Linked DNA regions of Mus musculus: regions 2, 3, 4, 5, 6 and 7 are each reported to be linked to region 1. Evidence: microRNA targets listed by miRTarBase, many of them from high-throughput screens and not tested one by one. Region 1 holds a microRNA gene; each other region holds the end of a gene's coding sequence.

Region 1 (4,076 bases):
GGTGATAGTGAGAAAGACTCTGCTGGACACACTTGCCCTCACCTGGTCACAGCTCTCCCAGTTTAAACTCCAGATCCTCAATTTCTCATTTTTTCAGTTTAGAAAAGTCAAATGTTAGTGGGAGCTTCAGGAAGTTCACCCAAAAACTCCAGAATCCCATTTTGGCCACACAGCCAGCAACCCAAGCAGGTGGATGGGCCCAGTTAGTGAGCCTCTAGACAGAGGATCCTTGCCTGGGGATAAGGTGTGGGTAGGGGGGGTCCTCCTCACACCTCTAGGGGGGTGTCCCCTTATTCCAGCCTCCAGGAGGTATGGGGGGGATATGTGAGGTTGGGAGGGGCCTGCACATCATCTGGCTGCAACTTTTATGGTTCCTCATTGCCCTTCATTCGGAAATGAACTGCCTTTGATCTTCTTCTCAGGTTGTAAACGGAATTGCCCGTCATTAAATATGGGGGGGGGGGCCATCTGTTTGGTCTCCCAGCATTTTTCCTCACAGCTGTTTTTCTCTCTCTTTTTAGCATTCACTTTTTCCAAAAGGACTTTTATTACACCCCCTTCACACCCAGACACCTCTCCCTCCTCCCTTTGCTTTGGAAAATATCTATATATGTGTTTGATCACAAACTAAAGGCTGTGGGGGCAAGGGAGGAACCTATTTGGGGTTTTGTATTTTTTCTTAAAAAAAAAAAAGTCATGGGGGGAGGGGAGGGGCCGAGGGCACCCAGAAAGGCCTGATTCTGACTTCGAGGCAGCCTCGGGATGACCCTTCCTTCTTTTGTGCTTAGCTAATGTTTACATCTAATAATTCATGCGCCACCGAAAGTCGCGCGGCAGCCACGAGGTTCGAGTCCCTTTGCACAACAGCTGCCTTTTTAAAAAATCTTATTTTATTTTTTGAATAGAAAGTTGAAACCCCTTGTAATCCCAAGAACGGACCCACAGTGACTTTTCTGCTCCCAGATCTCAAAATTAAAACAAAACGAAATAAAAATGAAAACATTCAGATCACACCCAAAAGAAGAACGCACGGAAAGTAAGAGAACTGGAAATTTCCTGGGCCAAGAAGACCTGTCTGTCTTCTGTATATACCCTGTAGATCCGAATTTGTGTAAGGAATTTTGTGGTCACAAATTCGTATCTAGGGGAATATGTAGTTGACATAAACACTCCGCTCATATTCTTTCCCAGAAGAAAAATAGATTATTTTCTAAATGAGGACAATCCAGTGACTGCCTTCAAGAAGACTCCTTTTCTTTTCCTCCCTCAACCAATGAGGGAGAAATCTCATCTACCTGAGGTGTCCCCATGCACACCCCTGGAAGCTTGGGTCCTTGTTCACTCAAGAGATTAATGTTACTGGTGTTTTAAAATTTATCTTTAAGCCCCAACCTACCTATTCTTATTCTGGGTCCAGGGGGCTTTATTGGAAATCATGAGGAGGAAAAAAAGATTGCTGAAGGCTGCAGTGTGCAAAGGCAAAGGAAATTTGCTTTTTAAAAGGATGCGAAGATTGCTGTTTCGTTGAATTCAAGACAAGATGCCCTGAAAACATAAGGTTGCCATGGGTGTTCTTGTGCGTGTGATGTTGGTGGGGGCGTCACAGCTAGGGCTCCTTTACTTAGTATTCAAGGTTGTGAAATTTCTTTCTGCCACACTGACAGAGGCGGCGGCTTTAGCGGCAATTAGAACTCTTGGTTAGCATTGCTTCGACGAATCTGGAATTAGCAAATTACTATTCAATTGGTTTTAGGAACTTGCGGGTTTGGTTTGGTTTCATTGTATCTTCTGTCTTTAGTGGAGGGAGTCCAGCCGTTCCTCTGACCTTGGGCCTTGTGGGTTAAAGGGAGGGAGTGTTGAGGAGGACAGACTGACGGACACAGCCGATGCTCATAGTGCAGCTAAATGCGATTTGGAAGGCGAAGTCTCCCCGAATTAGTGCGTGAATTTCCTATCGATCTGCTCGCGGTTCCATTCATCTCTGACAAGTCCCTCTGCGCACCCGCCTTCTAGCTCCCGACGCCTCCTCACTCACCTCCTACCCCTCCCCATCTGGCTGCACTGAGAAGCCCCAAGCTCAGCGCCCCTATGACCTAGTGGGTACCCATTTCAAGAAGGCGCTCCCTGGTCGGCCAACCACTTAAAACCCCACACAGACACCTAGTGCGTGAGCTCCCTCTTATCCTGGGGAGGAGATGGGGCCCTATGGGAGTCAGAGAAAGGTTGGTGGAGATTAGGTAGGGCAGGGGTGGGGGCTACACCCGCAGCCCCAACTTCTGAGGGATGCAGGGTTTGTGCTCTGCCCAGCCCCCTCACCCCCAAACAGGCCCTCCAATTAACCTGCTCACTCTTTCTTAGTTCATCACCCCTCTCTGTTGTGGAGAAAGCCAGGCGAGGAGGGGGTCTCCCCGCGGGAGCCCTATGTAAATCCTGGTGTTGGGTGGGTGGGGAGGGGTAGAGAAGGGGAAATAAACCTCTTTGGCTGGAGTAGGGTCCGGGTGAGCAGATTTCCTTATCCGGGAATCGCAGGCCGGGTGGCCATTGGCTCGGAGGATCACGTGGGCCTCTAACTTTGTTCACTTGACAGTAAGTAGGAGGGCTTTCGGAAACAGGAAAACGAGTCAGGGGTCGGAATAAATTTTAGTATATTTTGTGGGCAATTCCCAGAAATTAATGGCTATGAGTTCCTTTTTGATCAACTCAAACTATGTCGACCCCAAGTTCCCTCCGTGCGAGGAGTATTCACAGAGCGATTACCTACCCAGCGACCACTCGCCCGGGTACTACGCCGGCGGCCAGAGGCGAGAGAGCGGCTTCCAGCCGGAGGCGGCCTTTGGGCGCCGGGCGCCGTGCACTGTGCAGCGCTACGCGGCCTGCCGAGACCCCGGGCCCCCGCCACCTCCGCCGCCCCCGCCGCCCCCGCCACCGCCCGGGCTGTCCCCTCGGGCTCCAGTGCAGCCAACAGCCGGGGCCCTCCTCCCGGAGCCCGGGCAGCGCAGCGAGGCGGTCAGCAGCAGCCCCCCGCCGCCTCCCTGCGCCCAGAACCCCCTGCATCCCAGCCCGTCCCACTCCGCGTGCAAAGAGCCCGTCGTCTACCCCTGGATGCGCAAAGTTCACGTGAGCACGGGTGAGTGCGTGGGCACCCCTTCCCCTCCCACCCCCGGCGCTTTACAGTGAAGGGACCTCCGAGGCATGTGGGGGAGGGAGCGAGGGGAAGCCAATTGTCCCCGCTATAAACTCGCCATTGCCAGAGATTTACGGTCTCCTGTTTTCAGAGCCACATAATTACATCGCCCATAAATTTTTATGGCCTAGTGGGCCCTGCGCCTTTGAAGTCATCCTCTTCTTCATTCTCCCAGCGACTTTTTCGCCAGGGATTCGCAGTCCCAGTAAAGTTGGAAGTTGGGGAGGGGTGTGGGAGGAGGGGAGGAGAAGGAAGAGGAGGAGGTAATCCCTATTTAAGCACAGAGTTGAATCAACTTCCTGGATTTCTTTTTTTTTTTTTTTTCCCCTTTCTTCCAATCTGGTACCTTGGCTGGAGAAGTAGGCAAAAGTTTTTACTAAGGGGAAGGCGCTGCTTGGAATCTGAGCAGTGAGGGTGGGAACTAAGCCGGGGAAAGGTCTAGGGCAACACCCCCTCCCACTACCCCACGCCATTGGGGTCCTCAAGCCAAAGAGTGAGATGAAAATCTTTCCAAGATTCCTCACAGTGCCCCTCCCCCAGGCAACAAGGACAACAGTACAGCCCTCCAAAAGTTTGAGTTTTTTTTTTTTTTTTCTTTCACGGGTCTTCCTTTTTCGACCCCCTCCCTCCAAGATGAGGTAGTGGGAGCAGGAGGCTCGGTGTTAGCTGGAAGGAAGAAAGGGTTTCCCTCCTCCCTTTCGGGGGCAATAAAACTTTCTCTTTCTCCCTCTCTCTCTGTGTGTGTCCAGTAAACCCCAATTACGCCGGCGGGGAGCCCAAGCGCTCTCGGACCGCCTACACTCGCCAGCAGGTCCTGGAGTTGGAGAAGGAGTTTCACTACAATCGCTACCTGACGCGCCGCCGGAGGGTGGAGATCGCCCACGCGCTCTGC
Region 2 (4,076 bases), not on the chromosome of region 1:
CCCAGCTCTGGGTTGGAGTCCACTTAAGAGTTCTTCTCTCACTTCACAGTGACCAGTACAAAGCATACTTCTGGCCTCGGGACCTCCAAGCCTTCTCAGCTAGGCCTCTGCTTGCCTCCCCCACCCACTATTCGGGAGACGCCGAGTGGCTCAGTGACACAGAGACATCCTCCCCCTGGGACGATGACAGTGGTCGCCTCATTAGCCAGACTGGCTCTCAAAAGGCCCTTCGTGGCCCCCACCTGCACCTGACTGGCAGCAGTGGACACAGCCTCCATCCTCACCACAGGGATGAACTGTAGGTGAAGCTGGACCTAGAAGAGGACCAGTCCACGGCCCGGGCTTCCCTTCTCAGCTCTCTCCTCCTCCCTCCTCCTGCTTCTCTCCCATCCCCAACCCACCTCTTGTCTACTTCTCTCTGATTTCTCTAGCTTTGTCTCTGTCTTGTCTCTGTATCTGCCTCTCTACCTGTCTGTCTCTCTCCATAGCTGTTGACATCTCTACATCTGATTTTCCTTTTCTTTCTCTTGCCCCCTTGACCGCTAGCCCATGAGGTCCAAGTGGGAATCCAAATGAGCGATGAGAGGGGAGAGGAAGAGGTGACAGCCAGCAGAAATCTGACTGTTATTTTGGGCTCAGCTAGTTTTCTGTCCTCTGGACTCATTCCAAGGGAGGAGAAGCACTCAGAGACAGAGTCCACTCCTGAAGGTCTCAGAGTGAAGACACTAAGACCCCCAAGACTTTTTTTTTTTTTTTTTTTTTGTGACAGGGTTTTTCTGTGTAGCCCTGGCTGTCCTGGAACTCACTTTGTACACCAGGCTGGACTTGAACTCAGAAATCCGCCTGCCTCTGCCTCCCAAGTGCTGGGATTAAAGGCGTGCACCACCACTGCCTGGCTACCCCAAGACTCTTGACTCTGCTTGCAAATTTAGAGCCAGTGGGCTCAGGGACAGGGAGGCCTCAGCCTTTGGGGTTTCAAGCTGGCTGGAGCCCAGAGTCCTGCCCTCTGAGGACCCAACTACTTTGCCTCCATCTACCTCCGCCTTGGTGATTCCCTCCCTGCCTCACATCTGGGGCCCATTAGCACCCTCTTTCCTGGTTGGTGGAAAGTGCAAGAAGATGGGAGGCATACCTGGTGCTCAACACGCAGTAGGCCTTCAATAAAAGCCACTTGCATTAGCATTTTATACTTCACTTAACAGCTGAGCCTCTTTGTGTCTCTCCAGGCCAGGGCAGGACACCCTCTGAGCTAGGGAGGGAGGGAGGGCAGAAGAGGAGGGGTCAGGCTATCAGGCAGTTGCTTCCTGGATGGACAGCCATGTTCCTTTGGATGGATGGAAGGTATAGCTCCTGAGAAGAATGAGCGCCTCTGTTCTGTGCTCATCTCCATCCAGCCTGGGGTCACACTTACACTCCTGCCCTTTGCATTTCTGCTGTGTCTGCAATCCTAGTTCTGTAAGAAGCCAAGTTCTGCCTCTGGAGAGCCAGGGTTCTGCTCTGACCCTAAAGAATAAGCACCAGCAGAAGTCACCAAGTGACAGAGCATTAACCTGGTGGGTCAGGGTGCTCTTTGTGACTTCTGGACCCACAGTGGAGAAGAGAGTATGGGAAATTTAAACTCAATCCTGTAGGCATACATTTTTTTGCAACCTGCTTTTAATAAGGGTCCAACCTCTCCTTTAGCCCACCACCCAGCAGAGGCAGTGGAAGAGAAAAGTCATTAGGATATGGAGGAAGCAGACCTGTTTACCAGTCCTTTGAGGGTGAGCTTGATCTTTGGGTGCAGTTCAGTCCCGTAGCAAACTCCAAATGCGACTCAGCAGCTGCAGACCAGTCCTCTAGGCAGGCACGAACCAGCAGCTACAGTCCAGCCTTTTCAGCAGGCAGACACCAGGCACGAACCAGCAGTTGTAGTTCAATCCTACAGAAACCACCAGGCTTGACAGTGGGCCCCAAGGGAGGGAGACTGCAGAAGTGGCAAGCAGCTGCAGGAACCTCATGCAGTTCTTGGGCGAGCTTCTCACAATGGCAGCATTACCAGAGGTTGAGCTCAACAAGCTATGTAAGTCGAACCAATACGTGCATGTCGTTAAGTGAAGAATAGTGAGGTGAGCAAACCGAACCACTGCTCCCCCTCCCATTGTCTGTGGGGTGGATATTTATGGTTCTTCATCAAGAGTCCTTTCGTGTGTCTGCTCCAGCAAAACACCCTTTCACCTGTGCGGCCCAGCAAAACATATGACATAACTACTAACTTCACAAAGAAACTAGAAGCGTCCACTCTACAATCTGGATGCTGTGGCCACTCCATCTGAGGTGGCAGAGATGTTAGAGGCTACTCCACATGCTTTTGCCCTTCTGTGTGGGAAAGGGGGACTTCTCTCCACTAGTCACAGAGGACCAGGTTCTGGGCCTAGCAGCACTTAGATGGCTGGAAGAGTGAGGGGAAGGGATTCCCTGTCTTGGTTGGGGCTGACTTAGCACCTGCTAGTGCAAACAGGTTATCTCCCTTAGAGGAGCTCATTTCCTACCTGTCTTCCATTCCACAGCAGCCCTTGAACATGAGTTACGTTAGCGAGCACCCAGACCTGGCAGAGTCCGCATAGTACCTCCTGAGGTTGCGCTGCCAGTGCACTGCAGCCCAGGAGAGAGAGGTTCAGGACCTGCCATAGCTCTGAGGACTCTGGGCCAGAGGTGAGGCTGTGATGTTTTGTTCTTCTGAGGGTGAAAATCTTCCTCTCTGGATGTCTGTAATCTAGAGCAGGTAACATTTTCATTCATCCTGTAAAATTTGATTAGCCTCTCGGGGACTGAGCAGGGGTGGGGGTGGGTTCTAAGGATTCAGCAGTAAACGAAACTGATGAAAATGGGCTGTCAGGTGGACCTGGAACCCCTGTCCAGCACACACAAGGTGTCTCCCATTACCAGTACTAAGGACAACAGATACCACAAAACAATGAGAGCCTGATGGTGGGGGCTGGAGAGATGCCTCAGCAGCTAAGAGCACTGTCTGCTCCTCTAGAGGACCTGGGTTCAATTCCCAGCACCCACACGATGGCTCACACTTATCTTTAACTCCAGATCCAGGGGATCCAACTTCTTCCTCTGACCTTGTACCTGCACTAATATGTGTGTGCATGTGTGTGTGTGTGTGTGCACACATGCACGCCCAAGTATACACACACACACACACACACACACAGACAGAAATCTTTAAAAAAATAATAAAACACAATAAACCTTATAAACAAGTAAGAAGTCAGATGTGGTTATGTCCTGGGCAGCAGAGACGATAGAATTGCAAGTTTGAGGCCAGCCTAGTTCACATATCCAGACCTGAGAATTTATGTTTTACTTTTTGTTTTATTTTGTTTTTCAAGACAGGATTTCTCTGTGTAACCACAGGTACAGAACTCACTCTGTGAGGCTGGCCTTGAACTCATAGATCCACCTGCCTCTTCCTCCCGAGTGCTGGGATCAAAGGTGTGTGCCACCACTACCAGATGATTTGTGTTTTTAATAAGTCTCCAAACTCTGCTGATGCTGTTAGCTCATGATCACACTCTGGCTACAGTACAGTCACTAAGCATAGCATCTATTCAAGGTTCATAAGCAGTGAGGGACAGCTCAGAGGATCCGAGAAGGGCAAACCTTGAGGGCCTGGGAGAATTTTCCCTCCTGGCCCCTCCAAGAAGACACAAAGGTACCAGGAAGAAAGAGCCAGTTCCACTCTGTAGCACTGATCGTCTCTCCCTAGGCTGTGGCAGCTGCAGCAGGGCCCTGAAGCAGGTGTTCCTGGAAACAACCTAATCAGGCCCTTGGGTAAATGGAGAAGCCTTAGCCAAGGGGAATAAGACTTCCCTCAGGCCAGAGTTGTGTGGTTGGGGCTACGACTGGAGTCCACAAAGACTCCTTGAAATTCACAGAGAAGGAAACTAACTACCTCATCCAGTCTGATGGATCATTTTTCTGTGGACTCTTGACCATGAGTTTTATTTTAGTCTTTTCTTTTTTCTTCCTCTCCTCCCCCTCCTTTCTTCTTCCTTCTTTTTTTTTATCCTTGTCCTCTGCATCTT
Region 3 (4,076 bases), not on the chromosome of region 1:
ACTTCCTGATGGAGATGGGCTTCCGCATGGACCATGAGTTTGTCGCCAAAGGACACCTGTTTCGGAAGGGCATCATGAAGGTTGTGGTGTACAAGATTTTCCGAATCCTGGTCCCAGGGAACACGGACAGCACCGAGGCCCTGTCCCTCTCCTATCTTGTGGAATTAAGTGTTGTCGCCCCGGCTGGGCAGGACATGGTCTCTGATGACATGAGGAACTTTGCAGAGCAGCTCAAACCTCTGGTTCACCTGGAAAAAATAGACCCCAAAAGGCTGATGTGATGAAGAAAGTTTGTCGGCCTTTTAGGCCTGTCCCCACCTGGGAGGTGAGAGACTTCGAAAGTAGCCCAGGTACTGCTGCCAGCCGGGCCCACTTCCTTCCAGAAGATGATGGCGAGACCTGGTTCCTTTCAACTGTTTCCTTCACTTGGTAATGTCTCTTTTTTCTTGCAACAGGGTTTTACCATGGAATTCACTACATAAACTAGCTACCCTGGAACTCAGGACCCTGTACTTCCCGCCTAAGTGCCTGCAAGGTCCTTATTAAACCTGACTGTTCATCTTCTTGATAGGCTTTTCCAATGAAAGACCCAGGATAATATGGAGATTTGTTCAAGTCCTCCCTCCACTCAAAAAGAGGGAACTGGAATAAATTAGCTTTTCAGAGGAAAGGTCAAAAAACAACTCATAATATTTTGCTTTTTTTTTCTTTTTTCTCTTCTTTTCTTTTCTTTTTTGTTTTTTTTTTTTGTTTTTTGTTTGTTTGTTTGTTTGTTTGTTTGTTTTGTTTTTCAATACAAGACAGGGTTTCTCTGTGTTGCTTTGGCTGCCCTGGAACTCACTTTGTAGACCAGGCTGGCCTCAAACTCAGAAATCCACCTGCCTCTGCCTCCCGAGTACTGGAATTAAAGGCGTGCGATAACACGCAAGCCCGGCTGTTTGTTTTTTTTTTTTTGTTTTTTTTTTGTTTTTTTTAGAGAAACATTTTTTATTCCTTTATTTATTTGTTGTTTTCTTCATATGTTTTAAATTGTGTTGTTTTGCCATTGATATACAAGGTTTACAATGGTGGTGTGAGCCAGCATTGTGTGGTAATAAAGACTGAAAAGACTCAGTTGTGATTCTGATTCTTACTCGTCTTAACTCCTTCCTAGTCTACTTCTATATTGCTATAGTTCTGTCTTACTATTGTTGTTATTGTGTATGCTGTGGGGGCCTCTCCAGGACCCACATGGGAGAAAGAAAGAACCGACTCCTGCCTGTTGCCGTCCTGTTTCTCCACAGGATTGGTTGAGTCCTGCACCCACATGTGTGCACACCCACACACAAATGTAATCAAAAACATTCAAGTAGCTGGTGATGGAGAGGTGGCTTAGCTGCTAAAGAGCACTGGCTGCTCCTGCAGAGAGGACCAGGCTTAATTCCAACACATCCTTGAGTGCTGACAACCTTCCGTAGGAGTCCAGTTCTAGGTGATTGGATGCTCTCTTTTGAAGTACACAGGCACCAGGCACACACTCAGTACACAGACATGTTCAGGCAAGAAAAGGGCCATGTGCTGGTGGTGCATGCCATTAACATTAGTCCTGGCACTCAGGAGGCAGAGGCAGGCAGACCTGTGGTCTACAGTGCAAGTTCCAAGACAGCCAAGGCTACACAGAGAAGAAAGACAAAAGGCTCATAGTCTTAGATTTGAAAAGTCAGATACTTTTTCTCCTTCTCCTTCTCTTTTTCTTTTTCTTTTTTTTTCTTTTTCTGCCAGGAAAACTTTCAGTCCACTTTCTTTTTTATAGGAGTCTTACCCAGGATCCTACCAACAGCCTTAGTGAAATTTACTGTTGGCTCATCTACCTTCTGTTTTAGATTACAGTTATTTCTTTAGGTCTCACGTGTGCATGTGCTTCTGTGCACATGGGATCAGAGGCCAGCTTCCAGCAGTTCTGTATTTTCACCATCCGGGGCCTGAGTGTGGAACTCAGGTTGTCCGGCCTGGCAGCAAGCTCCTTTATCCACCTTTCCTTTCCAGATGAGATCTCTCACAGCCTGCAGCTCAGTTTCATCTAGACACCAGCCAGGGGCCCCTTAGCTTTCTTCTTTCCACCCTCCCTGCAGCAGCAGGGTTAGCAAAAGCCAGTCACTGCCTCCAGCTGCTGCCCGGGACCTGAACTCAGGTTTGTGTGTTTGCTTAGCAATGTTTTATCCCCTGAACTACAGCCCCGGTCCCTTGCAGTTATTCTTTGTAGAGATGTTTTAATCTTTCATGAAAGTAGTATATTTGAGCCATCCTGTTATCAGGGCATGGGGAGGCTGAGACAGGAGGATCACAAAATCCAGGTCAGCGTGAGCGACAGCAAGATCCTGTCTCAAACCACAGGCACACTCAAACACACACAGAGGAAAAGGACATTTTTGTTGATGGAACATTTTAAAACCAATAAAATACCAGAGATGGTTCTATTTTTGCTACACCTGCATGTGTAGCTGTGGAGGTCTACAAACCACTGCCTGTACACTGTGGTTGCTAGGTTTTGGAACTTAAAAAAATTTATTTTTTTCTCAGCCAGGCATGGTGGCCCAGCACTCAGGAGGCAGAGAAATACAGATCACTAAGTTTGGGGCCAGCCTGGTCTACAGAGTAAGTTCCAGAACTTTTTGTATACCAGGCTGGCCTTGAATTCACATAGCTCCAGCCTGCCTCTTGCCTCCTGAGTGCTGGGGTTAAATGCCTGTGCCCAACAAGCCTGGCCATAACTCACTTTGGATCTTAGTTTGTCATTCAGAGGAATGGATTGTAGTCCAGTATAGACTGTTTGGCTAGCATGCACAAGATCTATAACTAATACCACTCATGTACAAGTTCCCTGACTAATCCCACTCAAACACAAACACACAGACTATCAAGCAAGGCATAGTTTGTCCTCATTTGTCCCAACAACCAGAGAAGCTGAAGTCTGAGGAACACTTGTGTCCAGAAACTTAAGATCCAGTTTGGACAATATAGCAAGACCCAGGTGGGAGTGGGGTTTTGCATCAAGAGACAAGCAGACAGATTTCTGTGCGTTCGAGGCCAGCCTTCTCTACAGAGTTCCAGGTGAGAAACTGTCTAAAAAAGTTTTTTAAAGAACCCCAAAATGAGCTGGGCATGGTGGCGCACGCCTTTAATCCCAGCACTTGGGAGGCAGAGGCAGGCAGATTTCTGAGTTCGAGGCCAACCTGGTTTACAGAGTGAGTTCCAGGACAGCCAGGGCTACACAGAGAAACCCTGTCTTGAGAAACAATAACAAGAAGGAGGAGGAGGAGAAAGAGAAAGGAGCGGGTGGGAAGAGAAAGGAAGAAGAGGAGAAAGAGGAAGGAGGAGAGGAGGAAGAGAAAGGGAGGAACAGGAGGAAGAGGAGGGGAGAGAAAGAGGAAGGAGGAGGAGAAAAAGTATTCCTTCACAGTCTTTGCTTGCATTTATCCCTCCAAGTTCCTACACTGAGGGGCTGTAACCTGGGGGGTTGTGAGATGAAACAAGCCCTTTCTTTATTCCCCAGGTTGTTTTGGACCATGGTATTTACCACAGCAACAAAGCAAACTAGGACAGGCTGCCACTGTGTGTTAGTACAATCACTCAGACACTGCTCCTTAGTGTGTAGCCTCCCTCTGTTTCTAATCTCTGTGTTTATTCTGTACTAGACAAAGTCTTCCTTTCCAGCCCAGGCCAGCCTTGAACTTGAGGCAGTCCTTCTGCCTTGACCTCCAGAGGGCTGGGATTACAGGCATGAACTACTATACCCAGTCCTAAATTATACTTTTATTCTCTATCACATGTAACCACAAAAATTAAATTTATTTTCGTTTGTTTCTGTTTTTATTCTGAGGCATCGTCTCATGAAACGCAGCCTAGCTTCATCCTTTTGAGTTAGTGAGGCTGACCTTGAACTCAAAGAAATCCACTTGCTCTCCACCTCTGGAGAGCTGAGATTAAAGGCATGCACCACCATGCCCAGCCTCATCTTCTTAAAGTACATTGTGTGTATGTGTGTGTGTGCGCTTGCGCAAGCGCGCATGTGAAAATCAGTGTACAAAAATGCAGTT
Region 4 (4,076 bases), not on the chromosome of region 1:
CATAAACCTAACAGTCTGCAGGGACAAGGTATTGGTTAGGAAGGTGACGGCATGTGGAACACGCATCTCAATTGATAGTGGCTTATACAAGTAACCTCAACAGAGTAGATCAGGATTCAAAGTCACCCTTAGCTACACACTGAGTTTGAGGCCAGCTTGGGCTATGTGAGAAGTAGCCCAAGTGCTTACCTTGAATGTTCAAGGCTGCTGAGTTTAGGATGTGGGGAGTTTTGTGGGTACTAGGCAATCCTCCTTACCACTGGGTACATCCCAAGCCCTAACTATGCCTCCTAACTTTAAAACTACTCCACCAATTTTTCTCAAACAAAGTCAAAGTACCATGTATTACCAACTGCTGTAGCACTGTTTCTCAGACTCCTGAGTCACAGGTCACTTAGATCAGGGCAGGTAAGACCCAACAGCAGCCAGAGTGGCTTTCCTTCTTCCCACAGGACAGCACACAAAGGGTGGAGAACCAAGTTTTCCACATGTGGCGCTTCTACAACTATGCCAGGATGAGAAAAGTGGCTGACTTCTTCCTCCTGCAGTCTAACTACACCTATGTGAACTGGTGGTCCACAGCTCAGAGCCTTGCTATTGTTCTTTCCGGGGCCCTCCAGCTCTATTTCTTGAAAAGACTTTTTACTGCTTCAACTACTGACACAAAGAAGCCAAGATGCTAACATATAGCCTATTTGTCAAAGCTTTGATCAAATGGGCTTTGGAAAGTTATTGGGGGGGGGGTCAACTTATGTCCCCTTTCTCTTGTGTCCACCAATAAAGGCAAATGTTTAACAAAAAGTGAGTTCTGCTGCTGATCATTCTAAAATACGAATTAAGTGCTAAAAGCTAAAAGTACTGTTTATCTGAGGCAGGGTTTCAATATGTAGCCTTGGCTACTAGAACTTGCCGGGTAGACCCAACTCACCCCAAACTAAAGAGATTCTGCATCCCCACTGCTGGCAAGGTGTGTAACCCCATCCGCAGCCTAGAAACATCTTTATCCAGCTGTCCCTCAGCCTTCACTGACGCACGCCTTTAATCCCAGCAGAGGCAGGCGGATTTCTGAGTTCGAGGCCAGCCTGGTCTACAGAGTGAGTTCCAGGACAGCCAGGGCTACACAGAGAAACCCTGGAAGTGGGTTCAAGGATGAAGCTCCCTTCAGTAAGAGCACCTGCTTTGTATGCAGTTTGGGCCTCGATCCCTGGCACCACAGAAATCAGGGTGGTGGCTCTCAAATCTGAACTCTAGCACTGCAGAGGAAGCACTAAGATCAGCCTTAGGCAGTTCAAGACCATATCTCAAAGTACGTTAAAAGCTCTGAAAGAGTTGATACGGAGACAACTTTTTGGAGTTTAAAAAATTTTAATCCATTGTAGAGGACTACAAAGGTCAGCAATGTCCCCACCTTCAACCTTGTCCCAGGGATTGAACACAGCATCAGGCTTGGTGGCACATGGCTGATCCACCCTACCAGGCTGTCCACTGAGCTATCTTCTTGGCCTGTAGTGCCCTTCAACGGTTGGAAATATTTTACTTTATTTAAAAGATGTTACCATTGGAAACTGGTGTGGCGACAGACCTATAATACCATTACCTGAGAGGCTAAGACAGCCTGGGTCCCATAGCATTTCAGACCAACTTAGATATAATGTGACAAATGTCTCAAAAAATAAAAATGCCCCCTAAAACTGACATAACCTGATCATATCTTAAGAAACTGTTCTGCCGGGTGTGGTGGTGCATGCCTTTAATCCCAGCACTCGGGAGGCAGAGGCAGGTGGATTTCTGAGTTCGAGGCCAGCCTGGTCTACAAAGTGAGTTCCAGGACTGCCAGGGCTATACAGAGAAACCCTGTCTCAAAAAAAAAGAAAAAGAAATTGTTCTGAAGTTAGGCATGGTGGGGCACATTTTTTAAGGCCAGTATTTTGGAGGCAAACAGATCTCTGAGTTTGAGGCCAGCCTGGTCTACAGAATGAGTTCCAGGACAGTCAGGGCTACAGAGAAACCCTGTCTCAAAAGAACAAACAAAAACAAAACAAACAAAAAAAACAAACAAAAACAAAAAAAAAAGGGAGGTGGGGGAATTGAGCCTGGTATGGTAGTATACCCATTTAATCTCAGCACTTCAGAATCAATGGATCCTTGAGTTTGAGGCCAGCCTGGGTACATTCTAAGCAGAGATACATAGTCAGAACTTGTTTCAATTAAAAAAAAAAAAAAGTAACAAAATCATTTTAACACAGACAGGGAAGATGGCTCAGCAGTTCAGAAAGAACATTCTCTTTTAGAGGACTGAAGTTTGGTTCCCAACACCAACAATGGCCAGCTCACAACTGTCCTTACCTCAGGCTCCAAGGAATCCCAAGTGTTTTCTGCCCTCTGAGGATACCGCTACCCAAGCAGGATATACTCACACAGACACGCACGAACAATTTCCTGTTTTGAGACAGGATAACTCTATCCCATGCAGGATGCTTTACAACTGCTATTTTTTATTTATTTATTATATGTAAGTAAGTACACTGTAGCTGTCTTCAGACACTCCAGAAGAGGGAGTCAGATCTTGTTACGGATGGTTGTGAGCCACCATGTGGTTGCTGGGGTTTGAACTCCGGACCTTTGGAAGAGCAGTCGGGTGCTCTTACCCACTGAGCCATCTCACCAGCCCCTACAACTGCTATTTTTAATTCTGAATATCACTGTTACACTGATGACTGGAGGTGTTTTTTCAGTTTTGTGGGTTTTGGGTTTAAGACTGGCCAGGATCTCCTTATGTAGACCAGGCTGGCCTTGAACCTATAGAGCTCCATCTGCCTTTGCCTCACCCTCAAGCCCCCGTGCTGTAACTAAAGATATGCACCACCATACGGCAGGGTCATGGGTTTTTTCTTTTAACAAAGGAAGAAAATGAAGCCTCTCTAAGCAGAGAACTTGTCCACCACCACAGCTGGCAAGGGGCAGAACTGAGGCTTGAATACAGACGCTTCCACGCTATACCCCACTTAACACCAAGAAAAATAGCCAAAATGCACCTATTAAATTTATTAGGATAGCTTAGTGGTTAAGACCACTGCTGTCCCTGCAGAGGACCTGAGTTTAATTTCTGGCACCTATACGGTGGCTCACAACCAGTAACTCTAGTTCCAGGTCTGAAATCACCTTGACTTCCTTAGGCACCAGGCACATAAGCAGTGCACATACGTACATGCCAACAAAACACTCACACATATGAAATAACAAATATAAAACCATTAAAATTTATTAAATTCCATATGTAAAACCAGAGGCTCATATGGCCGTTTCTACCTTTAACATTAACACACAATAGAAAGTCCACTGTGCTATCATGAGCCTGGAAAACAGTGTTATCACAGATAACAGTAAGATGGCTCCTGTCCTCAGTGAAGTAACTTAGAAACCATCACTCAGAGCAAGTCTTCTGATCCAAACAAAGACGACGCAGACACAAAACAGAAACACTCTATTTACTCACACAAAACACTCTCAGGTTCTGGTTTGTCTGTTTTAGATTTTTGAGACAAGGCTCACTATGTAGCCCAGGCTAGCCTTGAACTCTCCAAGTAGCCTGAGCTGGCCTTATACTTGTGATCCACCTGCTTTTGACTCTAGAGGGCCAGAGACCCTGTTTTCACGCCATTTCTGTTGATAAGAACCCAAGTTGCGTATCTCAGTGTTGTCCAGATTTAATCTGATGGCCGCACACAGGAAACAAAGCTAAGTCCTCTCACACAGCAAAATGTTCTTGGAATGACCGTCCTAAGTCAGTGTCTCTTCATGGCGTACGTACTCCCCAATGTCTGCTTGGTGGAACACCACAATTGCCATGGGGTCCACTTTTCGGCAGTCTTGGGTAGACTTTGCTGCCACCCCAAAACCCTGGAATTGAAAGAACAGACATTCATTTATAAGGAAACAAAACAAAACAAAAACTATATTGAAACAGCTGTATCTTTGAGAACTGTGAAAGGAGCCAAGAAGTCAGTCTCCGAGCTGCTGACTGAAACTTCATCCTTTCCAGTGGGTACCTGGCATTTGCCGTGATGGATGGCTAC
Region 5 (4,076 bases), not on the chromosome of region 1:
CTACATAGTTTATGTTTTCCTCTTTGTGTTTGTGACAGCTAGTGGCTTTTTGCTTGTTTGAGATGGAGTCTCAGTGTTGCTTGAGCTGGCTCTAAACTCCTGGGCTCAACAGACTCCTCCCCTGTCTCCAGAGTAGCTGGACTGGAAGTGTCTGGCTCCCTAACCACCATGACAGCAAGCTAAACTCTTCCAGCTCGGGTTAGAAATGCTGTCTGCCCAGGAATTCCTACTCCTCTTCATGCCCTGGGGAAGGTAGATCCGGACCCTGTCTGGGCCTGACGCCCTGCAAGATGGTGAAGTTCCTCACATTTGCCCGCCTTTCTCTCTGTGCCTCCAGCTGGCCACTCAATCCTCTCCTCCTTATGGAACTGGATGCGTCTCAGTGAGGGAGTCCTTCTCTTTCTGGTGAATGAGGTTGTTTTGTTGTATCTTGGTTCCACTGTAGACTGTTAGCCTTACTGGGGAGGCATCCATCCCTGAGCTCTGTGGACAACAGCTGCTGCTTACCTTAAAACAGTACGCACTCACTGTGCCATTACCAAGAACCGTATGAGCCAGGCACGGAGGCATGCACTTGTAATCCCAGCACTTGAGGGGCTAAGGCAGGAAATGCAGTAAAAATTGGAGGCTAGCTTGTGCTACCTGCCTGGGGGAAAGGGAGGGGAGGGGAGGGGAGGGGAGAAGGAAATGCTTTGGCTTTGGCCCTTATTCTCCCAAGGATTAGTTCAGAGGCTTTACCAAGAGTTGGCTTTTTTCCTTGATCCAGTTACATGTGGCCCTCTGCCACACATCACCTTAGCACCCAGACTGAAGAAACAGGCCTGCCTATCTTTCCAGAGGCAACTCTGCTGACGAACTTTTGAAAGGACACTGCTCTAAGTACTATTTATGTATGTAAACAGCAGCAGGGAGGGCATGGTGTGCATGCCTGTGAGCCTAGCCTGTGGGCAGCAGAGGCAGGAAGATTACAAGTTTAAGGCCAGCCTGGCTCTCTATGGCAAGTCTGGGTTAGTCAGGGATACATTGCAAGACACTCCCAAGTGTGTGTTTGTGATTAAAATTTGTCCTGTCAGACAAGTAACTTCACTGCACATCTCTGACCTCCAAAGAATATTCTTTATTCTGCACAGTTCCCTATCATTTGATTACAAACCATATGGTAGCAAATAAGTCTTGCTGTAGGCGCAACCCCTGCTCTGTGCTAAGCGCTCCCCACTCTTCATCTCATTCCTGTCACCAAGACATGAATAGGAAGCCGTGTGGCCTGAGCCTGGCAACATAAACCATGGAGACCCTGCAAGAACTCAGCCTTGTCACTACTGAGTCTTTGGGTGCTGCTGGACAGACCCTAGTGACGTTCTCTGAGAAGTCAAAACACACTTTTCTCCAGCAGTGACAGAACTCACTGCAGACTCGTTTCCACCCACACAGCTGTATTGATTTAACCTGTTTCCTATAGCATGCTTTCAAGCTTTGTGTGTGTGTGTGTGTGTGTGTGTGTGTGTGTGTGTGTGTGTGTGTGTGTGTGTGTGTCAAAACCTATTTTTTAATGTTCCCCCATTATATATTAGGTTTCATGTTATGTCTAGAAAAGGGTTTCCTAAATCAGGTATAAAAATATTTTTTTCTGCTGGGCAGTGGTGGTGCACGCCTTTAATCCCAGCACTAGGAAGGCAGAGGCAGGTGGATTTCTGAGTTCAAGGCCAGCCTGGTCTACAGAGTGAGTTCCAGGACAGCCAGAGCTACACAGAGAAACCCTGTCTCAAAAAAACAAAAAAATTTTTTTCCTCCCAGGTGTGATGATGGCGCATGCCTTTAGTCCCAGAACTCAGGAGGCAGAGGCAGGTGGGGAATCTCTGTGATTTCCAGGCCAGCTTGGTTTACATAATGAGTTCCAGCACAGCCAGAGGTACATAGTGAGACTAAAATAATAATTAATAATAATAATAATAATAACAATTTTGTTGTTTGCTTTTGCTTTTTTCCCTCTAGCCCTAGGTTGTTTTGTTTTGTTTTTGAAACAGAAGTCTCATAGGTAGGTAGCTGTCTCAAAGCACTATGAAAATATCCACCTCCCCTCCCCTGCACCTGAAATCATATACTGAATTTCTACGTGCCTAGGTCTGTCTGACCTGACCTATCATGGCAGCTGAATTCACGCTGGCAGAAGAGTCCAAGTCGTTTGAGAACTCTGTTAAGACAGCTACTGCCTGTTGCCCGCCTTAGTGTCAGCAGCCGTTCATCACCTCGGCCATTCAGAACTACTTCACATCCTCAGCCTGTCACCTTCCAGATGAATGCCAGGACCTGAAGAGTTCCAGAAAGTGTCCAACCTCGTGGGAATTACACTGATGTTTATGGGTTGATTTGGGGAGAACCAGTCGTTACAGGGCAACTCACAGAATGCCTTGCTAGTTGACACACAGGTTTCTTAGGTAGCTTATGGTTTTAAAACAGTGGCAATTGTAATTCTTGTTTCCATCTGAAGTGTGGGTTAGTGACACCAACACACTGTGCCGCCGGGCAGTTTCTGACTGAGGGGATCAGAGCCTGCTCTGTCCGATGCTTTGGGCGCCTTCGCTTACTGGTGACGAGATCTTTATCCAGATTACGGGCTTCTTTCTAGTCTTGGCTTACTAAGTTTTCGTAAGGATGGAACTTTGCTTTTACCAACTCTTATCATTTATAGACAGATTCTCTATTGATTGAAGCAAAAACGAAGGTTCATCCAAGCACATGACCTCCTAATTTTGTCTCTGCCTTCCTCGTCCACACAGCGGGCAGGTAATACTTCTGCAGGTGGGATACGAGTGAACCTCCTCAGCCCACCAGGGGCCCCAGCACAGGATGCCTTCCCAAGACACCCAAGCACAGCCCTCTTGGAAACTCTGTTTCCATTTTAGAGAAAGGAATCCTGCCAGGATCCCCACAATGGGAACTCGTGGGGAGCCTGGTGTGTGAGATAAGAAAGCAGATCAGGGGGAGACACTCCCTACCCCTGTCACAGATCAACACCAAATGATCAGCTGAGAACTAGTGCTAGTGCCTGAAGTGTTCCGTGGCCTCTGGCCTGGAGTCTGAAGCAAGCCCTTCCTGCACCCAGCAGCCCCTAGCCAGGGCATGCAGGCCCAGTGGCACTCAGAGCAGGCCCAGTGGCACTCAGAACAGAGCCAGAGCAGAAAGCAGCAAAGCCTTTAGGCTCTTAGGAGAACCAGGGACTCCTTCCACGCCTTTACTCCACTAATAATGGGCGCCTACCCCTCTCCTCCCAGAATCACCCTGCTCCTGTACCCTCATACCAGCACTGTGGGGTCCATATGACCCCGCAGAGCAAGCTCATACCTGCAGTCTCCTAGCGTGAGGTTGTCCCCCAGCCTCCCTGACCTCTTCTGCTTGTCCCCACTCTTCCTACATCCCATTTTGGGAAAAGGATGAAGCCTGAGTTGTGCCCAGCTGGGTACCTACTCACAGCCTAGGGCAAGGGCCTCCTCTCCCCTGTCTCTCTGCCCCCGCCGCCTGCTGATGTAAGGACTGTTCCAAACGCAGGAGCAGCAATAGACAACGGAAGGGCACAGCACAGTCTGTCACTTCTGAGGCAGAGCGGAGGGGAGACTTGGTGTGGCTTGTCCAGCTTAGTCTTGGTGTTAGGAGGCAGTCTCTGTGGATGAACCCTGTCTTCAGGCCACAAGAAGCCCTGGCCTAGCCCAAGCGCAGGCGGAAGGTGCTGATCTCCATGGGCTCCAGAGAGATGTCAGTGCTGTTGGAAGGTGAGGCCAGAGGGTATAGCAAAGTCAAGGAGGTTGGCTGCAGGAAGGTCACATCCAGGCCATGGAAGAGGCTCCCCAGGGCTAGCTGTGAAGAGAAAGGGGGCAGGGTGAGCCGGGCGCTGCTAACAGTGGGTAAGTTCTTCCTTACACGGAGTGCTGCCCTTTTGGGTTTTTTCCTTTTTTTTTCTTTTCTTTTCTTTTTCTTTTTTTTTTTTTTTTTTTTTTTTTTTTTGAGACAGGGTTTCTCTGTATAGCCCTGGCTGTCCTGGAACTCACTTTGTAGACCAGGCTGGCCTCGAACTCAGAAAT
Region 6 (4,000 bases), not on the chromosome of region 1:
ACCAGTCTTCCCAGATTCCAGGTCCAGAAGCCCTTCTCTTTAAAACTCTGCGCCCCTCCCGCCTGACTGTTGGTGTTGATCCTTTTCCAGCTGTGAAGGTGAAAGAAGTTGAAGAGTTCTTGAAAATTCGTGCCTCCTCAATCCTAAGCAAGTTAAGTAAGAAAGGGCTAAAACTGGCTGGCTTTCCGCTTCCGCTGGAGGGAAGAGAAACACAGATGGAGTCTTAAATCACTACACGTATTTTCTTACCCGCCTTCACGAGCACCTCCTGTTTATTTTTCTTTGCAAATAGCAATTTGTAGAACTATTCCAATATAAAAAATTTTTTTTGGTATGCTGTTGGTTTGATCACATACAGTAAAATTTATAAACACTTGAGTATTCAGTTGATGGTTCGGGGAGTATGTAGGTTGTATTCCTACGGTTTCTAACAACACTTCAGTCTGGCCCTCAAGAATGGCACAGTTGACTTAAAAGTGGGCCCTAACTCCTGTGTCAAGCAAGTTTTTTTTTTTTGTTTGTTTTGTTTTGTTTTTTCGAGACAGGGTTTCTCTGTGCAGCCCTGGCTGCCCGTGAACTCACTTTGTAGACCAGACTGGCCTCGAACTCAGAAATCCGCCTGCCTCTGCCTCCCGAGTGCTGGGATTAAAGACATGCACCACCATGCCTGGCCCAAGCAAATTATTTTAAGTTACCCAGTAGTTTGGGAAAAGGGCATCATTAAAATGTCAGCTCTTGATCCCTTTGTCCTTCCTTATTGAGACAGAATATCTATGTCGCCCCGACCGTCCTGGAGTCTCCTATTTAGACCAGGCTGGCCTTGAACTCCGATCTACCTGCTTCTGCCTCCCAAGTTCTGTGATAAAGGTGTGCTCCACCATTTCTGGCTACCCTTTTGTACTTTTTAACCTACTCCAGTTAAGGCAGTAGTCTCAACCTGGGATCAGAATATAATCCTGTATATCAGATATTTACATTACAATTCAGAAGAGTGGTCGAGTTATGAAGTAGCAAAGAAATGTACGATTGGAAATCAACACAACGCGAAATGTATTAAAGGGCCTAAGCATTAGAAAGATTGGGAACCATTGATTTATAGTGTGCAAGAATTCACTTGGGAGCTGGGCAGTGGTGGTGCAATGCCTTTGATCCCAGCACCTGAGGCAGAGGCAGGTGGATCTCTTGAATTTAAGGCCAGCCAGAATTCTGGAGAATCCTTGTACCAGGAATGGGGTTGGACAGGAGAATTCACTTTGGAAGGGCCTCAAAACAATGTCCTGGGCCCCTTCTCCAGTGATTCCCCGTGAGAGGATACATTAATTTGCAGCTCTAACATGCTCAGGATGCTGAAACATGACTTTGGGGCAATCATTTCTGCTCAAGGTTGCTAAGCTGTTACTATGCTTCCTGTTACCTGGGCCCCACCCCAGGAACTCCGGTTTTCTCACAGAAATTTGTCATACTTTTTTTTTTCTGGTGTGAACTTGATTTAAAAAAAGTCAATACCGTTTAAGCAGATTGATCATCATTAGCAGATTTATGAATAGGTTCATGCATAAAACTTAAAACTTTTTAGTAACTTCTGGACAAAATTCTATGTTTCTACCAGAATTTGTATTTATTAGCCTATACTTGAGCCCCCAAACTCAGGACCACAGGCTATGAGTAGCATATTTTCAGATAAAGCTTTGCTGTTTTTATTTATGTGTAAGGGTGGTTTTGCCTGTATCTATCTGTATGTCTGTATGTGCACCACGTGTGTGTCTGGTGCCTGCAGAGGCCAGAAGAGAGCATCAGATCCCTCCGCAACTATTGTTAGCTTCCATGTGGGTGTTGGGAATCAAACTTGGGTCCTTGGAAGAGCAACCCGATGCTCTTAATCACCAGGCCATGATTCCACTTCACAGATAGAACCGGCCTCTTTTTTTCCTTCCTCCCCCCCCCTCTCTCTGACAAAGGCTGTTTTTGGTTTTTGTCGCTCTCTTCAGAGACCCCAGACGAGGGAGGGCATCAGATCCCATTAACAGATGGTTGTGAACCACTCTGTGGTTGCTGGGAATTGAACTCGTGACCTCAGCTCTTAACCTCTGAGCCATCTCTCCAGCCCCAGAGCCTTTCAAAAGGGGCTAGAGTGGTGGCTCAGCAGATACAAGCACAAGTCTCAGAGGAAAAAGGGATGCAATGAATATAAAATTAAGTCATTTCATCACTATACCTGTGAACATGCACTCCTAAAGAAAATGTAAACAAAGGTGTGAACCTGGGGAAGATCATGTGATGACCAGAGTAGACCCAGACACTAAAGCAGTGACAATTCCATTTTGGACTTCTAACTCTAATTACAGGGACTCATTTCTGTTGTTTAAACTGTCTGGGTTATTTTGTTGCGATAGCCCAAAGAAGTTAACACATTTAACAGATCTGTGCTGGATTCTCTTATCCATTTGCCAATATTCTGTGCATGTGCACCCATACACACACACACACACACACACACACACACACACACACACACAGACTTGCAAGGAGAGTCCAGAGGTTAACTGATGTCTGCTTCAATCTCTGTACTTTTATGTTTTTGTCTGTTTGTGGTTTTCAAGAATAGCTTTCTTTGTGTAGCCTTGATTGTCCTGGAATCCTATCTTTAAATCTGTGTGGCCAGGGAACTCACCTGCCCCTGCCTCCTGGAGTGTTGGAATTAAAGGTATGGGTCTCACTCCTTAGGGAGTGGCCTTGGATGTTGGGAACTTGCTCTGTAAACCAGGCTGGCCTCAAGCTTTGAGATCTTCCTGCCTCTGTCTCCTAATCCTGAGAGTAAAGGAGGGGCCACCACACCATGCTCCATTGTAGTTTTTTGAGTCGGGGTCTTTTGCTGAACCTAGACCTCACCTATTAGGCTAATTAGTCCAGCTGGTAAGCACCAAGACGCCTCTATTCTCTGCTTTCTCAGCACTAGGGTTACATACAGGTGTGGCCTGGGTGCCTGGCTTTTTAATCAAACGCTGGAAAAATAAACCCAGTTCTGTTTTTGTAGCAAGTTCTATGCCTACTGGCTGCCCCCACCCCCACCTCCTTTGATTAGCCTCTCCCTCCCAGGTGCGGGGAGGAGGCTAGGAGATTGAAATGTACTCTGCCTGCAACTTGATAAATGGCAAAGAATGACCTTAAATTCCAGCTCCTCGGACCTCTACCTCCCCAGTTCTGGGATGAGGAGTGTGGCCCACCATTCCTGTTCTGCCCTGCGGATATTGAAAACAGGCAGAGTGCTCTGACATTCTTTTCTTCTCACTTAAGGGCCAATGTAAATTATGCATTAGCATTATGCCAAGCACCTAATCTGAGTGCTTGGGACCTAAGCAGTTGGCTCAGCAACGAGAGGGAGGTAATAGAACAGAAGCAACAACTCCATGATGCAGGCCTAGCTGTGCCTGCACTTTGTCTTACAACTGCTGTAAGGGGGTGGGGGCGCGGCGGGGGCAAGGGCTCAGCGCATCTCATGGCACCCATGGGGATGACTGAAGACAACCCTGGAGCCGTTTCCTTCCTCTCTATGGGCTCGGATACAGGTCTTCGTGCTTGGCTGGCAAGCTCTTCAGCTGCTGAGCCATCTTACCAGACCCTCTTTTTGTTTCTGAGCATGTGTAAAGATTTTATTTGACCAAAATAACCTGTAGTGGAGGAACTAGTAAGACAATAGCATCCGTTTGAAGATGCGAAGAGCCGAGAGAGAGACATGGGCCATCACATATGCTAAAATGGACTTGCCAAACTGAACAACTACACACATGTACACACACTTTTCTACTGCTACATTTTTCATGTAACTTATAGAGCTGCAAAACTTTTAAATCCAGTTGTGTCTCAGCCACTATGCTGGTTGCAACCAGGTTTTGAACCTGATACAACTCAAGGTACCTGACTAGAATAGCCACAGCTTGGAAAAGTTTTCCAGGGAGCAACAGTAGCTGCTCCACCCACAAGCCAGGTGCCCTGGGTTCTA
Region 7 (4,076 bases), not on the chromosome of region 1:
GAGTCATGCTCCCTCCTGGGATCAAGGTGGTAGATCCCTCATGTTTACAGGACTCGGAGCGTATCAGAGTATCCTCAGAGGACCGAATGGGTGAGTGTATGCATAGTATTCAGGAAATGCCCAGAGGTGGCACTGCTTCTAGGTTTGGCCCATGACAAATGCCAGGGCTCCCTTTCCTCCCCAGGGTGGAGGCCTGTCTCTACCTCCCCACCCACTGCAGGACTGCCCCCGCAGGTCTCTTTCCGATACCATTGCCAGCTGTACTCGGAATGGAGGAAGACAAATCAGAAAGTCCGCCTGAAGATTCGGGAAGCAGATGGCTCCGAGGATCCACATCACTCCTTGCTGGCTACTGGACTCTTAAAAAAGGTGGCAGAGGAGACCCCTGTGTGAAGGCCTGGCTGGCAGGGCTCAGAGGTAGTAGACAGACCAGAGTCAGATGGCAATGCAGCTGGCATTTGGAAAGATGGAGGCTGCCTGACTTTTCATGCACAGCTATGATGCTTCTCAGGCCCGTAGCCACAGCCAGCAGAGCCTGCTCTGTGATCCCGTGTGAACATATTTTCAAGGGTTTTGTTTTGCACATTGTTGTATATGACAAGCACAGATGGACAGATTTGAGCTTTGGATGGAGTAGGCACCTCTGTCTCATTTTGAGATCTGTTTGACACCTTTTGCACAGCAGCTTTAGCGCTGGTGTCAAGGGCGCCCGTTGGACTAGAAGGTTCCAGCAAGCTTCTTGCGTTACTCTGCACCTAGCTGGCTTGCTTTACTGGCACTCTTGACTTATAATCTTATAAAGTTGCACTGCATTTCAAAAACCCACCCCTGAATGAATAAAAGGAGCCCTTGCTGGCTAATATGGACGCATCAGTTATGTTTCTAAGCTGTTCCAAGCGAGTGATTCTGTGGGGGCACAAAGTCTAAAATGCTTGGCTTGTTCTGTGGGGACTGTATGAAGCTTCTTTTCTTCTCTTCTCTTATTGCTATGATAAAGGACCTGAAGTGGAGGGACAGAGATGGCTCAGGGGTGAAGAGCACTGGCTACTCGAGAAAAGGACTGGGGTTTAATTCCTAGTGCTCTTCACAGCTTGTAACGGTCTCCAACTCCAGCTTCAGGGGATCCAGTGCCTCTTTAGGCTCCCATAGACGCTGCTCACATATGGTGCAATACATAAGTGCAGGCAAGATACTCATACACATAAAATACAGTTTTTTTTTAAAAAAAGTAACTTAGCCCTGGGACTAAACCACCACTCAAAGAAAACACGTGGTGGGACTCATGGCTCCAGCTGCATATGTAGCAGAGGATGGCCTAGTGGGTCATCAATGGGAGGAGAGGCCCTTGGTCATGTGAAGGTTCTATGCCCCGGTATAGGGGAATGCCAAGACCAGGAAGCAGGAGTGGGTGGGTTGGGGAGCAGGGGTAGGCGGGAAGGGGATAGGGGATTTTTGGAGAGGAAACTAGGAAAGGGAATAACATTTGAAATGTAAATAAAGCAAATATCTAATTTAAAAAAGTAATGTAAGGGAGAAAGCACTTAGTTTTAGCTCACAGCTACAGGTACAGCCCCTCATGGTAGGGAAATCAAGGCATAATTAAGTTGGGTATTTCTATATCAATCAGTACAATCAAGATGATCCCCATAGTCATCCCCCGAGAGGTTCATCTCACAGGGGACTCTAGATTCTGTCAAGTTGACAGTTAAATCTAACCAGCATGGAAGCCTAAAGAAAAAATAAAGTCAGAGTTGTTGTTTTTGTATTTTTTTTTTTAAATAAAGACTAGGATTCAGGACCTTGGGAGACAACTCAGTAGTTAGAGGGCTTGCTACACAAACATGAAAATTTCCCATCTCTATAACCTATATAGATCAGTAGTGTGTGTGTTTCTGTCCTCTAGGAAATCCTAGTAGCAAGCTGGCTAGCTAAACTAACCATATGGGCAAAGCTCTAAGTACAGTTGAGACACCTTGCCTTAATGTATAAGGGGGAGAAGATGAGTGAAGACACCAACATTAGCCTCTGGCCTCTGCATGCACATGCACAGGTTTGAACAGGCATGCACTTGCACATATATGAGGGAAAAAAATAAAAGAACAAGAAATGAGGTTAGCTTATTTTTTATTATCATGTTAAAATGTATAATAATAATAATAACTATTATTATTATTATTATTGTTATTTTGCTGGAAGAGGTCAGAAGAAACCTTACTAGTAGAGCAGAGTCTCTCCTACCTTCATGTGGGCTCCAGGGATCACACTCAGGCTATCAGGTTTGCACAAGTGCTCTCATCCATTGACAACCCACCCCCCACCCCCGCCACTGGCCTGGGCAGGATTTATGGTGAATGATCTTTTAAAAATATTTTGTAAAGATTTTATTCTTGTGTAAAAGTGTTTTGTTTTCCCTGCATATAAGTGAGTGTTCCATGTGTATGCAGTGCTCAAGGAAGCCAGAAGAGGCCAAGAGATTCCTTGGAACTAGATGGAGTTAGAGATGGTTGTTAGTTGACATGTGGCTGCTAGAAACAAAACCTCTGTCTTCTAGAAGAACAGCAAGTGCTTTTAACCACTGAATCATCTCTCTGGCTACAATAAATGATTTTTTAAAAGTTATATTAAGCTGGGTATGGTGGCGCACGCCTTTAATCCCAGCACTCGGGAGGCAGAGGCAGGCAGATTTCTGAGTTCAAGGCCGGCCTGGTCTACAAAGTAAGTTTCAGGACAGCCAGGGCTATACAGAGAAACCCTGTCTCGAAAAAAAACCAAAAAAAAAAAAAAAAAAAAAAAACCACCAAAAACCAAAACAAACAAACAAAAAAGTTATTTTAGCTGGTGATATAGTTCAGTGATTGAATATTTGAATAACAAAGACAAAGTTCTGGGTTAGATTCCCAGGATCATTAAATAAATTAAGTTTTTAATATAATTTTAGTGCACACATACACAGAAACACACACACAGTCTCTGAGTAGCTCTGGCAGGCTAGAATTCAAAGAGATCCTCTTGCTTCTGTCTTCTGAGTGCTGTAATTACTAAAGGTATGCATCACCATGCCTGGCAATACATATATTCTCTCTGTCTCTCTCTCTGTCTCTCTCCCTATGTATATAATATATATATGTTATTTATATATACATATATATTTTTAAATGCTACTGGGGATTGAATTTGAGCTTCACATAGTCTAGGTAAATGATCTACCATGGAGTGATATACTCAGCAACAAATGACTTTAAGAGTAAACCAAGTTGGGGGTGGGTGTGTGTGCTGAAGAAATGGCTCAGTGGTTAAGAGCACTGGACTGCTCTTTTATTGAAGAGGACCTGGGTTTGATTCTCAGGATCCATGTAATGGCTCACAACCATCTGTATCTCTAGTATCAGGGGATCCAACTGATACCAAGGATACACATGGTACCAAGACACACAGGTAGGCAAAACACCTGTACACATAAAATAAATCACAAAGGGCCTTTTGTGGTGGTGCATATCTTTAATCCAGCACACAGATTTAGAGGTAGGCAGGCAGATCTTTGTGAGTTCGAGGGCAGCCTGAAATACATAGCAAATTCCAGACTTCCCATGGCTTCATAATGAGATCATGTCTCAAGGTAAAATAAGCCATGTGTGGTGGCATATACCTTTAGTCCCAGCCAAGAGGCAGAGGCAGTAGGAGCTCTTTGAGTTCAAGGCTAGCCTGGTCTATATAGGGAATTCCAGAACAGCTTAAATATTTTATCTTAAACAACAGTGACGACAATGGTAACAACAATAAAACAAACAAAAAGCAAATTAATAATAATAATAATAATAATAATAATAATAATAATAATAATAAAAACTTGACAGTATACCAGGGCCATGTATGTAACTCAATTGTACAATCTTAGGATTTTACTGCTGTGAACAGATACTATGACCAAGGCAACTCTTTTTTTTTTTTATTTGTTTGTTTTTCAAGGCAGGGTTTTTCTGTATAGCTTTGGCTGTCCTGGAACTCACTCTGTAGACCATGCTGGCCTTGAACTCAGAAATCCGCCTGCCTCTGCCTCCCAAGTGCTGGGATTAAGG

What was found. The annotated mature microRNA mmu-miR-10a-5p reads UACCCUGUAGAUCCGAAUUUGUG and lies in region 1 at 1,090-1,112, shown strand. An mRNA with a match to its seed (bases 2 to 7 or 8) in the 3' UTR can be bound and repressed. Matches are read on the target gene's strand: a 7mer-m8 pairs with bases 2 to 8, a 7mer-A1 pairs with bases 2 to 7 and ends in A, and an 8mer does both.
Region 2: miRTarBase lists Cercam as a target of mmu-miR-10a-5p. Seed matches in the 3' UTR shown: 7mer-m8 at 766-772.
Region 3: miRTarBase lists Med18 as a target of mmu-miR-10a-5p. Seed matches in the 3' UTR shown: 7mer-m8 at 452-458 and 7mer-m8 at 801-807.
Region 4: miRTarBase lists Nip7 as a target of mmu-miR-10a-5p. Seed matches in the 3' UTR shown: 7mer-m8 at 3,644-3,650, 7mer-m8 at 2,008-2,014 and 7mer-m8 at 1,852-1,858.
Region 5: the mRNA of Man2a2 is a reported target of mmu-miR-10a-5p. Seed matches in the 3' UTR shown: 7mer-m8 at 3,669-3,675 and 7mer-m8 at 1,755-1,761.
Region 6: miRTarBase lists Ooep as a target of mmu-miR-10a-5p. Seed matches in the 3' UTR shown: 7mer-m8 at 542-548.
Region 7: miRTarBase lists Marchf2 as a target of mmu-miR-10a-5p. The part of its 3' UTR that is shown has no 7-base or 8-base seed match.

Annotation. Positions count from the first base shown.
Region 1 is chr11:96,316,097-96,320,172 of GRCm38, forward strand. It overlaps Mir10a (microRNA 10a), which reads left to right and starts at 1,069; the gene lies at 1,069-1,178. It overlaps Hoxb4 (homeobox B4), which reads left to right and starts at 2,171. Exons shown (of 2, transcript NM_010459.7): 1 at 2,171-3,127; 2 at 3,934-4,076. The coding sequence starts at 2,674. It also overlaps a transcript of Hoxb3 not described here.
Region 2 is chr2:29,881,647-29,885,722 of GRCm38, forward strand. It overlaps Cercam (cerebral endothelial cell adhesion molecule), which reads left to right. Exons shown (of 12, transcript NM_207298.2): 12 at 50-1,194. The coding sequence ends at 302. Among named protein-coding and RNA genes, the nearest start is that of Odf2, 6.3 kb to the right of the region's middle.
Region 3 is chr4:132,455,765-132,459,840 of GRCm38, reverse strand. It overlaps Med18 (mediator complex subunit 18), which reads left to right. Exons shown (of 3, transcript NM_026039.3): 3 at 1-1,112. The coding sequence ends at 281. Among named protein-coding and RNA genes, the nearest start is that of Med18, 6.1 kb to the left of the region's middle.
Region 4 is chr8:107,058,201-107,062,276 of GRCm38, reverse strand. It overlaps Nip7 (NIP7, nucleolar pre-rRNA processing protein), which reads right to left. Exons shown (of 5, transcript NM_025391.2): 5 at 1,346-3,900. The coding sequence ends at 3,781. Tmed6 (transmembrane p24 trafficking protein 6) reads left to right here. Exons shown (of 4, transcript NM_025458.2): 4 at 453-793. The coding sequence ends at 683. Among named protein-coding and RNA genes, the nearest start is that of Nip7, 3.4 kb to the right of the region's middle.
Region 5 is chr7:80,348,000-80,352,075 of GRCm38, forward strand. Man2a2 (mannosidase 2, alpha 2) reads right to left here. Exons shown (of 24, transcript NM_172903.4): 24 at 1,098-3,852. The coding sequence ends at 3,700. Among named protein-coding and RNA genes, the nearest start is that of Hddc3, 6.9 kb to the left of the region's middle.
Region 6 is chr9:78,373,782-78,377,781 of GRCm38, reverse strand. It overlaps Ooep (oocyte expressed protein), which reads left to right. Exons shown (of 3, transcript NM_026480.3): 3 at 91-879. The coding sequence ends at 227. Among named protein-coding and RNA genes, the nearest start is that of Ooep, 2.8 kb to the left of the region's middle. RefSeq lists an enhancer at 2,372-3,736 and cis regulatory regions at 1,303-4,000, 1,303-4,000.
Region 7 is chr17:33,688,312-33,692,387 of GRCm38, reverse strand. It overlaps Marchf2 (membrane associated ring-CH-type finger 2), which reads left to right. Exons shown (of 5, transcript NM_001252480.1): 5 at 235-883. The coding sequence ends at 393. Among named protein-coding and RNA genes, the nearest start is that of Hnrnpm, 4.9 kb to the right of the region's middle.